Linked DNA regions of Macaca mulatta. The protein of the gene in region 2 interacts with the protein of the main gene of each other region in a pairwise test. Links are inferred from orthologs where the notes say so. Each region holds a gene or a part of one and is shown on either strand. Other genes may lie near its edges. The genes, in order: CDKN2B, CDK4 and CCND2.

The links.
Region 1: the proteins of CDK4 (region 2) and CDKN2B interact in binary tests that used the Homo sapiens proteins (3 or more experiments, as listed by UniProt). The link is inferred for Macaca mulatta from reciprocal best matches to the Homo sapiens genes CDK4 and CDKN2B.
Region 3: the proteins of CDK4 (region 2) and CCND2 interact in binary tests that used the Homo sapiens proteins (3 or more experiments, as listed by UniProt). The link is inferred for Macaca mulatta from reciprocal best matches to the Homo sapiens genes CDK4 and CCND2.

What each region holds. Positions count from the first base shown.
Region 1 is NC_133420.1:77,206,349-77,210,095, reverse strand, and holds the start of CDKN2B (cyclin-dependent kinase 4 inhibitor B), read right to left. Parts: upstream 2,437-3,747; 5' UTR 2,156-2,436; coding exon 2,000-2,155; intron 1-1,999. UniProt on the Homo sapiens protein: Interacts strongly with CDK4 and CDK6. Potent inhibitor. Potential effector of TGF-beta induced cell cycle arrest.
Region 2 is NC_133416.1:64,929,458-64,933,204, reverse strand, and holds the start of CDK4 (cyclin-dependent kinase 4), read left to right. Parts: upstream 1-1,376; 5' UTR 1,377-1,532; intron 1,533-1,969; 5' UTR 1,970-1,988; coding exon 1,989-2,206; intron 2,207-2,361; coding exon 2,362-2,497; intron 2,498-2,616; coding exon 2,617-2,784; intron 2,785-2,941; coding exon 2,942-3,051; intron 3,052-3,747.
Region 3 is NC_133416.1:5,167,590-5,171,336, forward strand, and holds the start of CCND2 (G1/S-specific cyclin-D2), read left to right. Parts: upstream 1-1,057; 5' UTR 1,058-1,336; coding exon 1,337-1,531; intron 1,532-3,296; coding exon 3,297-3,512; intron 3,513-3,747. UniProt on the Homo sapiens protein: Regulatory component of the cyclin D2-CDK4 (DC) complex that phosphorylates and inhibits members of the retinoblastoma (RB) protein family including RB1 and regulates the cell-cycle during G(1)/S transition.

The DNA.
Region 1 (3,747 bases), on a different chromosome or scaffold from region 2:
GTTTGTCATGTGTCTGTGCTCATAACTGGATTGTACTGTGATAATTTGAGCCAAAGTTGGAGATTAGAAGGGAAAAGTAAATTAAATCATGCAAAATCTTATAAAATTACAAGAATAAATGATTTTTCCTTAATAAACAGTTCATCATTTTTATTTTAGAGTATAACATTTTTAATGTAACATAAAACTAACTATATATACTACAGGATTTTATAATAGCTAAGATTTAAAAACGTTAAACAGTAAATATTTTGCTGTATAAAAAGAGCTTGGGCCAGGCACAGTGGCTTATGCTTGTAATTCCAGCACTTTGGGAGGCCAAAGTGGGCAGATCACCTGAGGTCAGGAGTTCGAGACCAGCCTGGCCAATATGGTGAAATCCCGTCTGTACTACAATAAATAAATAAATAAATAAGATGGGCATGGTGGGGCGTGCCTGAAGTCCCAGCAACTCAGGAGGCTGAGGCAGGAGAATCACTTGCACCCTGAAAGCAGAGGTTGCAGTGAGCTGAGATCACACCAGTGCACTCCAGCCTGGCTGACAAAGTGAGGCCTCGTCTCAAATAAATAAATAAATAAATAAATAAATAAATAGAGCTTGGATGTTAGCAATCAGGATGATGCATAACTTAGAAAAAAATGATGTTTTGCAGGAGTAATCCTGTAGCAGCCGTTTGTGAACATGAACATTATGAAAACATTTGCTGTCATATTTTAAGTTAATTATAAGACAATTTTTGGTAACAAATGTCTAAAATTGAGTTATTTGTTATGGGTTTATGTACTTTAAAATATACCATTTAATTGAAAGGCAGTATACTTCTCATGTTTTGTCAGCTTGTTTCATTAATATTAGAAATGTTCATTTCATCTCTTGAAAACCATAAGTTATATCTACTAGTGATGTAAGGATAGTTTACATAGAAAAAAGAGGGGAAAATAGCTGTTCTTAGTATTTCAGAAAATGGTGAATTACATATATAACTTGTTTTATAATTATTAATAGAATTTTAAGTTTTTAAGAAGCACTTTACAATAGTTTTGCTCCTTTAAAAATCCCTTATTTGTTATACCACTATTCTAAGAATTCAAAAGAAATGAACACTTCTTTAAAATCTACACTATTAACAAGATTCCTTAATATTAGCTTAGTTTTGGAGGGTGATAGTGAGGTGAATACTGAATATGGCCAATAGCCAACAGTAAAGTACAAAAGCATTGTCCTAGATTGTAAAATAAATTAAAAATATCAGTACTAATTAAAGCAGGATTCGTAAACATTGAATAAGTGTATTTTAACGATGAAGATAAGGATGCATTATTTATGAAGATCCTTTGCCATTCAAAAAGGACCTAACAGTTGCTGCAGGAATATTTTTGTAATCTGGGCACTGAGTATGATAATTAAAGAATGAGAAACCTATAGAACTATATATTTTTTCTCTTATGCATCACTCATAAGACACTGCTAACATAAAAGGAACTAAGTGCTGTGGCTGAGGATTCCGGTCTCATTCCTTTGAATTCAATTAGCCTCCATGAGAAAACAATACAACAGATTTCATATAGTAGCTTAAAAGTTTACACTGATTTTTTTCCATGTACTATGATTTTGTAGAATTCCTTAAATCCAATCCAGAATGTGTAACTTATAGTTTACTTATCTTTATCGTTGAAAGCAAACAGACAAGATAATCGTCCTCCCTAAATAACCTTTCCTTTTCGCCTTTTCTCCCCAATTCAATCTATTCCTTGCATCTCTGATGATGAGATGGCAGAACAAAAACCACTAGAAAAGCTTAAACAGTGGATTTTTCAATGTCTCTCTTTAGAATTTTTGCTGGATAAAAGCTTGTTTTACGCCTGGGCTGCACACCTCCGGCCAAGGGAGACTGCTATACAAATCTACATCGGCGATCTTGATTCCAGCCCCGACCCGCCGAGGCCGCGCCCCGCGTTCGCGCGCCCCCTGCCGGCGAGGCCCTGGGGCCCCAGCTACCTGGATCGCGCGCCTCCCGAAGCGGTTGACTCCGTTGGGATCCGCGCCGGCTTCCAGGAGCTGTCGCACCTTCTCCACTAGTCCCCGCGCCGCGGCGCTGGTCAGGCCCTCATCGCTGCCGCCTCCACTGGGCATGCCCTTGTTCTCCTCGCGCATTCCGCAGTCCCCAGACGCGCAGAGGCCCGGATAATCCACCGTTGGCCGTAAACTTAACGACACTCCTCCCTTCTTTCCCACGCTGCTCCGGCGCACTCTCTCCTTCCTAGAAGAGCTGGGCTCAGCTTCATTACCCTCCCGCCGTCCTTCTGCGGCTTGGGGCCCCGTGCAATGGTCGAGCCGCCGGTAGTTAGCTCCGGGCTTTTCCTGGCGCTCAAGAACTAGCGGGCGCTCCTGGATTGCTTCTGGGGAAAAGCGCCTAGCGCGGCCGCAGCTGAGCTCAAAGCGGCTCTGGCCGCAGGGTGCGGACGCGTCGCGGAGTCCTCACTACCCCGCCTCGCTCTGGCAGAGTGGGGAGCCAGCCGGCAAAGAATTCCGTTTTCAGCTGGGCCAAGGGGCCGGCCTCTCCCCACCCCCTTAGGCTCCGCCCCCTGTCCGCTGTGCTCGCCGGGAGGCCAGGCCCCGGCCGACGCGTCACGAGGGAGGGGAAGCCTGCCCAAAGGTGCTGAGACGCATGCGCCAGAGACTGGGCCAGGGAGCCGCCAGGAATGCCGGCTGGACTGCTCGCTGGATGTCCGGTAAAGCCAAGGCTAATATTTTGGGAATGTTGACCCACTACCCTCAGCAACTAATCCCCAGTAGGCGGAGCAGAGGATTTCTGTTCCTTCAGCCTTATGCCAGTTGGTTTCACTGTGGAGACGTTAGTGGCTCCCTTGTGGCCGAGAGAAAGGCATTGAAAATAACTCTGTCTTTCTTAAGATGTCTGAGAGCGACAGCTCTGCACCTGTCATACAAGTTAAATTCATCCCTAGGCAGTACTTGAACTTCACAAGTTTCATATCTTGTGTCAACCTTAGCGGTTTTCTCTTGGATGTGTCTTTCTATTTGAATTTGTCAACCATAAAAATAGAGAAAAATCCCGAGAATCATGTTTTGCATGTGCTTTTTAATTCTTTCCATGTTTGCATTATGGATACAACCCTTAAAAGAGAGAGAGAGAGAGAGAGAGAGAGAGAGAAAACTAGTTCGAGATTGAGAGTGGCAACCTAGCACACAAGACAAAAAAAAATTGTGCTTTAAGAATCTGAGATCCCAGTTTCATCATATTTGCACAGTAAATCTTTGCACTCTTACCTATTTAAACCCACTTTGTCAAGTATTTTATTTTTATTTATCATGAGTAATAAAGGAAATTTATGCAGTAATAATGAAACATAAGAGAGGGGTGTGGTGCTGGGCTTGTCATTAAACAGGCTGAACCTGTCATTAAATTCTCTTCTGAAGATTTAAATGCCAAGTGCTTTTATTTTCTTTCTAATCTTCCTGGGTGAGTTTGAATCAACATTTATTACTTTAAATATTTAAAACATTTCAGCGGATGCTACATTGGATAGGAAGAGAACCACAAGTTATGGATTTGTTGCCTAAAAACTTTGGTGAGGAACTACATAAGTGGACCTCTCCTAAAAGTGAACAATTTTTATTTACAGAATCATTTTGGTTCGGAGTGCTGAGGAAGAAAAAGTCTTAACAGGAGGGCAATTGCTTGCTTATTGCAAAATGAGAGTCTTCACGTTTTTTTTTTTTTTGGA
Region 2 (3,747 bases):
TAGGGTAATAAAATGGCTTTAGATTTTACACAAATTCTCACAAATGAGACACTAACCGCTTTCCTCCTTTACTCCCATACCCTCAAAGGGCTAGGACATGAAGACCTTGGAGCCAATAAAACAAAGAAAGTAGGAGAAATCTACCTACGTCTACCTCGGTGTCTGTGGGCAGAGGCCATTTGGGAAAAAGTGTGTTCTGGACACCGCTAAGTGCTAAGAAAGAGGCACTAGGGAAAAAGAGGGAAGCACAATGACTCCAAATGAGCAGTCACAAGGTTTACAGAAGGAGACATGTCATTTTCATTCATTGTGGTGGTCTGGAGGGTGCAGGGGGTGTGGTGGTAACTTTCTTGCACATGTACACTCCTGTATCCATCTTATATATTACATGTAATAAATAATATATACATACATATATACATAGAAGTATATATACACATATAAAAATATCACATAATCATAGAACCGTCCTACTGGGGAAAAAAAAAACTTAAAGGTCAAGTATTCCTGTCTCCTGCTCATTAATAACTTCTCTGCCAGATGGCCTCAGGTCTTTGCATTAACACTCCCAGGGAGATTTGGAAGTTGAGAAAAGAGGGGGCATTACCTTGTCACTGAACCTGTTGGATTACTGTATTAATCTGCCTTCTGTCCGTCCTTTAATCGTAGTTTTGCCCTCAAATGGGCATTGTTTACTCCCTATTTTAGAAGACCCCATTGTTGGCTACATCTTTCTAGATAGTCGTACCACTACTTTAAAGGGCCAGTGACAGACACCAGAAACAAAACAAAATAAAAACCCACATACACACTGGAAGCAAGCACTCAGTAAAATGTTGTAGAATTAATGAATGAATCAATGACACAAATGAGAGTATGTTTTATCATGGTGGAGCGAAAAGGTGACAGCATCACCTCTGGTACCCCAACTCCCATTCCCTCCCCAATGTAGACAGGCTGAAAGACCGGTAGTGAGACTGGAGTTCAGCCTTCAGACCGGTAGTGAGACAATCCTTCAGCCGGGAGTTGGGCTCTGGGTGGCCTAGGTTGCCATGGCACCGCCTCGGGCTCCACCCTCTCTTGTCCCCTTACCGCGCCCCCCCGCGGCGGGGGTTGTGGCAGCCAGTCATGTGCCCGCCGCGTAACCACACCTCTGCTCCTCAGAGCAATGTCAAGCGGTCACGTGTGATAGCAACAGATCACGTGGCTACCATCGCCCCTCCGCCCCCTTACACTCTTCGCCCTCCTCCCCGTCAAAGCGGCTCCTGGCCACCCCTCCGCGCATGGGTGGCAGTCACGTGCCCAGAACGTCCGGCGTTCGCCCCGCCCTCCCAGTTTCCGCGCGCCTCTTTGGCAGCTGGTCACATGGTGAGGGTGGGGGTGAGGGGGCCTCTCTAGCTTGCGGCCTGTGTCTATGGTCGGGCCCTCTGCGTCCAGCTGCCCCGGACCGAGCTTGGGTGTATGGGGCCGTAGGAACCAGCTCCGGGGCCCCGATAACGGGCCGCCCCCGCAGCACCCCGGCCTGGCGTGAGGTAAGTGCAGTCCCTTCCCGGGAATGAGAACCAGTGCCCGCCCCCCTCACAGTTTTCCACGCGTTCGTTTCTCGAGCTGGTTATGGAGGGGTCGCTCAAGGGCGGGAAGTGGGGCCTTTGTGGTCATGGGAAAGTATAATTTTAGGGACTGAGGTGTAGGATCTTTGATGCAAGGCATGTGTCATGTGTGATCTTTGTGCAGGGCGCGATTGTCCCAAAGGAAAATGCGTTTTTTATTGCAGGGCCTCACGTGGCTGGAGGGGTTGGTATTGAGTCATTGTGTTATCTCTGGGGCCGGCCCCAAGGAAGGCTGCGAGCGGGGGATGGGATGCTAGTGTTGCTCTTTGTGCTTTTTTTTGGGAGTCCTTTTGTTGCTGCAGGCTCATACCATGCTAATTCTGTAAGGGACTTTTGGTGATAGGAGTCTGTGATTGTAGGGTCGCCCTTGATCTGAGAATGGCTACCTCTCGATATGAGCCAGTGGCTGAAATTGGTGTCGGTGCCTATGGGACAGTGTACAAGGCCCGTGATCCCCACAGTGGCCACTTTGTGGCCCTCAAGAGTGTGAGAGTCCCCAATGGAGGAGGAGCTGGAGGAGGCCTTCCCATCAGCACAGTTCGGGAGGTGGCCTTACTGAGGCGACTGGAGGCTTTTGAACATCCCAATGTAGTCCGGTGAGAAGGTGGTGACGAGGGGAGTGGGGAGTAAAGGGAAAAGACAGCCTATAGGTGGGGTGTGGTGATCTGTAGAGAAGTGGGGACCCTGAGGAAATAATGAGAGGCCATGTTGGGTTAAAGGGGATTGAAAAGTGAGCATTTACTCTGGCCAGGCTGATGGACGTCTGTGCCACATCCCGAACTGACCGGGAGATCAAGGTAACCCTGGTGTTTGAGCATGTAGACCAAGACCTAAGGACGTATCTGGACAAAGCACCCCCACCAGGCTTGCCAGCCGAGACCATCAAGGTGAGTGGGGTTGGTAGGCATTGAGAGGTGGATTGGGACCTTTGTAGTAAAACCTCCTGGGATTTCAGGTATGGTGTGCCTAGTTTCCAGTGCATCTGTACCTCCCCCTTCTAAACTAGGATTTGATGCGCCAGTTTCTAAGAGGCCTAGATTTCCTTCATGCAAATTGCATCGTTCACCGAGATCTGAAGCCAGAGAACATTCTGGTGACAAGTGGTGGAACAGTCAAGCTGGCTGACTTTGGCCTGGCCAGAATCTACAGCTACCAGATGGCACTTACACCCGTGGTCAGTAGAAAGATGGTACCAAAATGGGTTCTGGTTGGGAGTAGGAGAGTGATTGCCTGTAGCAATTGAGAAGTCATGTGCTTCGTGTGTTCAGTCAAGCAAGTTGTGTTTTGTGGTAACCCATGGAGTCCCCATCCATTCTTCCTATTCTCTTTAGGTTGTTACACTCTGGTACCGAGCTCCCGAAGTTCTTCTGCAGTCCACATATGCAACACCTGTGGACATGTGGAGTGTTGGCTGTATCTTTGCAGAGATGTTTCGTCGAAAGTATGGGACCCACATACCCTGGACCACCTTGAATTCCCCAAATTGCTTGTTCATAAACCACGTCCACACCCTGCCCATTCTTTCTTTTTCTCTTTTTTTTTTTTTTTTTTTTTTTTTTGAGACCAGGGCTTGCTTTGTTGCTCAGGCTGGATTGCAATGGCATGATCACAGCTCACTGCAGTGTCAACCTCCTGGGCTCAAGTGATCCTCCCATCTCAGCCTCCCAAGTAGCTGACACTCCATGCCCAGCTAGTTTTTTAATATTTCTGTAGAGAGGGGGGGTCTCAGTATATTGCCCAGGCTGGTCTTGAACTCTTGTACTCAAGCAGTCCTCCCACCGCTATCTCCCAAAGTGCTGGGATTACAAGCGTGAACTACTGGACCTGGCCCCATTCTTTTACTTGCATACTACTGACTACTTTGCCCATAGCAGAAAGCTCTGAAATGCTCTAGAATTAGGAACTTCATATCCCTTTATTCTCTTTTATTTATTTATTTATTTTTGCAATAAGGTTTCACTCTGTCACCCAGGCTGGAGTGCAATGGCCCAATTACAGCTCACTGTAGCCTCTATCTCCTGGGCTCAAGCAATTCTCCCATCTCAGCCTCCTGAGTAGCAGAAACTATAGGTGCATGCCACCATGACTGGCTTTTTTTTTTTTTTTGAGACGGAGTCTCGCCTTGTCGCCAGGCTGG
Region 3 (3,747 bases), about 60 Mb from region 2:
CGGCGAGGATGCGGACGAAGGACCGAGGGTGGAGGCCTCATGCCTCCGGGGAAAGGAAGGGGTGGTGGTGTTTGCGCAGGGGGAGCGAGGGGGAGCCAGACCTAATCCCTCACTCGCCCCCTCCCCCTCCCGGGCCATTTCCTAGAAAGCTGTATCGGTGTGGCCACGCTCAGCGCAGACACCTCGGGCGGCTTGTCAGCAGATACAGGGGCGAGGAAGCGGGTTTTTCCTGCGTGGCCGCTGGCCGCGGAGAAACCGCTGGGAGCCCTGCCCCCGGCCTGCGGCGGCCCTAGGCGCTGCACCGCGTCGCCCCACGGCGCCCCAAGGGCCCCCAGAAACACTATGGTTTCTGCTCGAGGATCACATTCTATCCCTCCAGAGAAGCATCCCCCTTCCTTCCTCACACGCACCCCTCCTTCTTCTTTTTCCTCTGCCCACAGTCTGCAGGGGGGCAGAAGGGACGTTGTTCTGGTCCCTTTAATCGGGGCTTTTGGAACAGCTTCGAAGTTATCAGGAACACAAACTTCAGGGACATGACCTTTATCTCTGAGTATGCGAGGTTGCTATTTTCTAAAATCACCCCCTCCCTTATTTTTCACTTAAGGGAACTATTTCCAAATTGTCCGAGGTCACCCCATCTTCAAACAATCTACCCTACGTTCCTGGATCTTAAATCCAAGGGCAGAAGTATTAGGATCCGTTTTGAAGAAGCCAAAGTTGGAGGGTCGTATTTTGGCGTGCTACACCTACAGAATGAGTGAAATTAAGAGGGCAGAAATAGGAATCGGTAGTTTTTTGTGGGTTGCCCTGTCCGGGGCCCCTGGCATGCAGGGCTGGATGGAGGGAGAGGGGTGGGGGGGCGGGGGACTGCGTTTGAAGTTAGGTCGGGCCAGCTGCTGTTCTCCTTAATAACGAGAGGGGAAAAGGAGGGAGGGAGGGAGAGATTGAAAGGAGGAGGGGAGGACCGGGAGGGGAGGGAAGGGGAGGAGGAACCAGAGCGGGGAGCGCGGGGAGAGGGAGGAGAGCTAACTGCCCAGCCAGCTTGCGTCACCGCCTCAGAGCGGAGAAGAGCGAGCTGGGGAGAGCGAGACCAGTTTGAAGGGGAGGACCGGTGCGAGTGGGGCAGCCCGGAGGCTCTGCTCGCCCACCACCCGATCCTCGCCTCTCTTCCGCTCCACCTTCTCTCTCTGCTCTCACCTCTCCCCCGAAAACCCCCTATTTAGCCAAAGGAAGGAGGTAAGGGGAACCCTTTCCCCTCCCCTTCCAAAAAACAAAAAGAGAAAAACACTTTTCCAGACCGGAGAAAGCAGGGGAGAGAGGGGTCGCCGGGCTGGCCATGGAGCTGCTGTGCTGCGAGGTGGACCCGGTCCGCAGGGCCGTGCGTGACCGCAACCTGCTCCAAGACGACCGCGTCCTGCAGAACCTGCTCACCATCGAGGAGCGCTACCTTCCGCAGTGCTCCTACTTCAAGTGCGTGCAGAAGGACATCCAACCCTACATGCGCAGGATGGTGGCCACCTGGATGCTGGAGGTAGGTCGGCGGGCGGCGCTCGCTAGGAGCCAGGACCCCTCCCGGATTCTCGGGTCCCCGGCCGGAGCCCTAAACCTGGGAGAGGTCAATCCCCGCGCCGACCTCTCGGCTCCTGTGCGGGAGGTCACCGCGCGCCCTTTGGCGAGACGCGTGGCTTCTTTTCTGTTCCTCTCCAGATAAACTGGGGAGGGAGAGGGGGGAGGAAAATCTGGGAGAAGCGAGGCTGCCCTGGGCGGGGGTGGGGGAGCATCCCGCGCGCGTGTGTCTGCATGTGGCTGCCTCTTCTTCCCACCCCCCTCGCGACCTGTCTTTTGCGAAGCCGCCGCGGCTGCTGGCGCTGCGGTCAGGAAGGGAGTCGGGGCCTGAAATCGGGACCCCAAGTAGAAAGGCAGCCCCCCAAAAGGCCAGAGCAAATTCGTCTTGGCCTCAGGTCCCCGCATGTGGTCGCGACTCCGCGCTGGCACTTCAGGGGGGAGGTGGAGGGAGGAGGGAGAAGGAGAGAAACGGGGAATTCAGGAGCCCCGGAAGTCCCATTGAAGAAACGTGTGTTTCGGGGGAACCCAAAAGAACCACTTCTTGCCCCTCACTCCAAGTCTTTGCCCAGTGAGCCGTGTGCCCACGTATGCACAGCTCTGGACCTGCCGTGGTTTCGCCATGTTGCTTTGCAAACTCCCTTGGAAAGGCTGGGAAACGTCGCCCGCTTACCCTCGCACCCCATTATCCCGGCCACCCCACTTTTAATCGTGCCCTCTCCCCCACCCCCCACCTCACGAAGGTTACTTACAGTTTGGTTTTCCAGCTTCCTCGGTGCGGAGATTTGGGTGGGGTAGGAAGGGGGGGGAGGGGGTGTGTGTAGGGGGGATATCGGGTCACCCCTAAAAGAGAGGTTGGAGCCCCCCGTGCCTCTTTCCAGGGCTCCCTGCTCCCGTCTTTCCCCTAGCTCGTCACCACGTTCCCTAGTTTCTGTCCTTGTGGGCCGCAGCCGGACACTCCCGCCGCGGCGCTCACCCCTTCAAGTTTCCTCCCGGGATCCAAAGCCCCAGGGGTCGGAATACAGACCTTTCTGGCACCCGAAACCTCCCTTTCGGGAAGCCTGGCTCCTCTTTGGGGTTTTCACGCCAAAAGGGCTTTTCTAGGATATTTCCTCGATTTTTAATTATTTTTTGAAACCGTCCCCCCCCGCTCCGACTCCAGCTGCCGAGGCTGCGGCGCTCTTCCTCCTCTCCTCCCTCCCCCTCTCTTCCCCACCTCTCCCCACCCGCCCCCCCAATAGCGGCCCCTGGGCCGCAGGGACCCCCCCAGACATTTTTTCCAATTGTCGGGAATGATAGAGGAGGATCTGGGGATCCGGATGAGACCAAGAAGTGGACCCCCGGAGCCTCCAGAATATTTTTATTGATTTTTTGAAAAGATGACGAAATCCAAAAAAGAGTGAGTGAGTTAGAGTGCGCGAAGGAGTAGCCAAAGGGAGCGTCGCGGAGCTGCCGCGGCTGCTGCGCACTTCCCCGACTCCCCGTTTTGGAGCTGTAGTTCACCCCCTTTTATAGGCTCTCTGGAATACCAAAGCACCGATGGGCTATTCTGATTCACCCCAGTTTCCTCATCTTTGTTCTTTATTCTTATCACCCATTTTACTCCCCTCCCCCTCCCCACAAAAAATTAAATTTTTTTGTTCCCATAGATTATGCTTTTTCATTCTTTTTCTCTTTTGCTGATGCTGTGCTCTCCACCCCCGCCCCCCAACCCTCTCCCACTCCCATTATAGGTCTGTGAGGAACAGAAGTGCGAAGAAGAGGTCTTCCCTCTGGCCATGAATTACCTGGACCGTTTCTTGGCTGGGGTCCCGACTCCAAAGTCCCATCTGCAACTCCTGGGTGCTGTCTGCATGTTCCTGGCCTCCAAACTCAAAGAGACCAGCCCGCTGACTGCGGAGAAGCTGTGCATTTACACCGACAACTCCATCAAGCCTCAGGAGCTGCTGGTAATGACCGGCCCCTTCTTCCCTTCCTTTCTGCGATTCCCGCTTTCCCCTGGCCAACAATATGCCTTCTTCTCACCACTTCCAGAGCGGATTCTTGGGATCCAAAATGACCCCACCAATAGAATTTACACACTGACGGGCAATAACTCATTTAATAGGAAACCACAGTCTATATTTTTTGTGTTCCTACTATGTGTCAGGCTGCGTGCCCAGCACTGAGGCAACATCTGTGAAT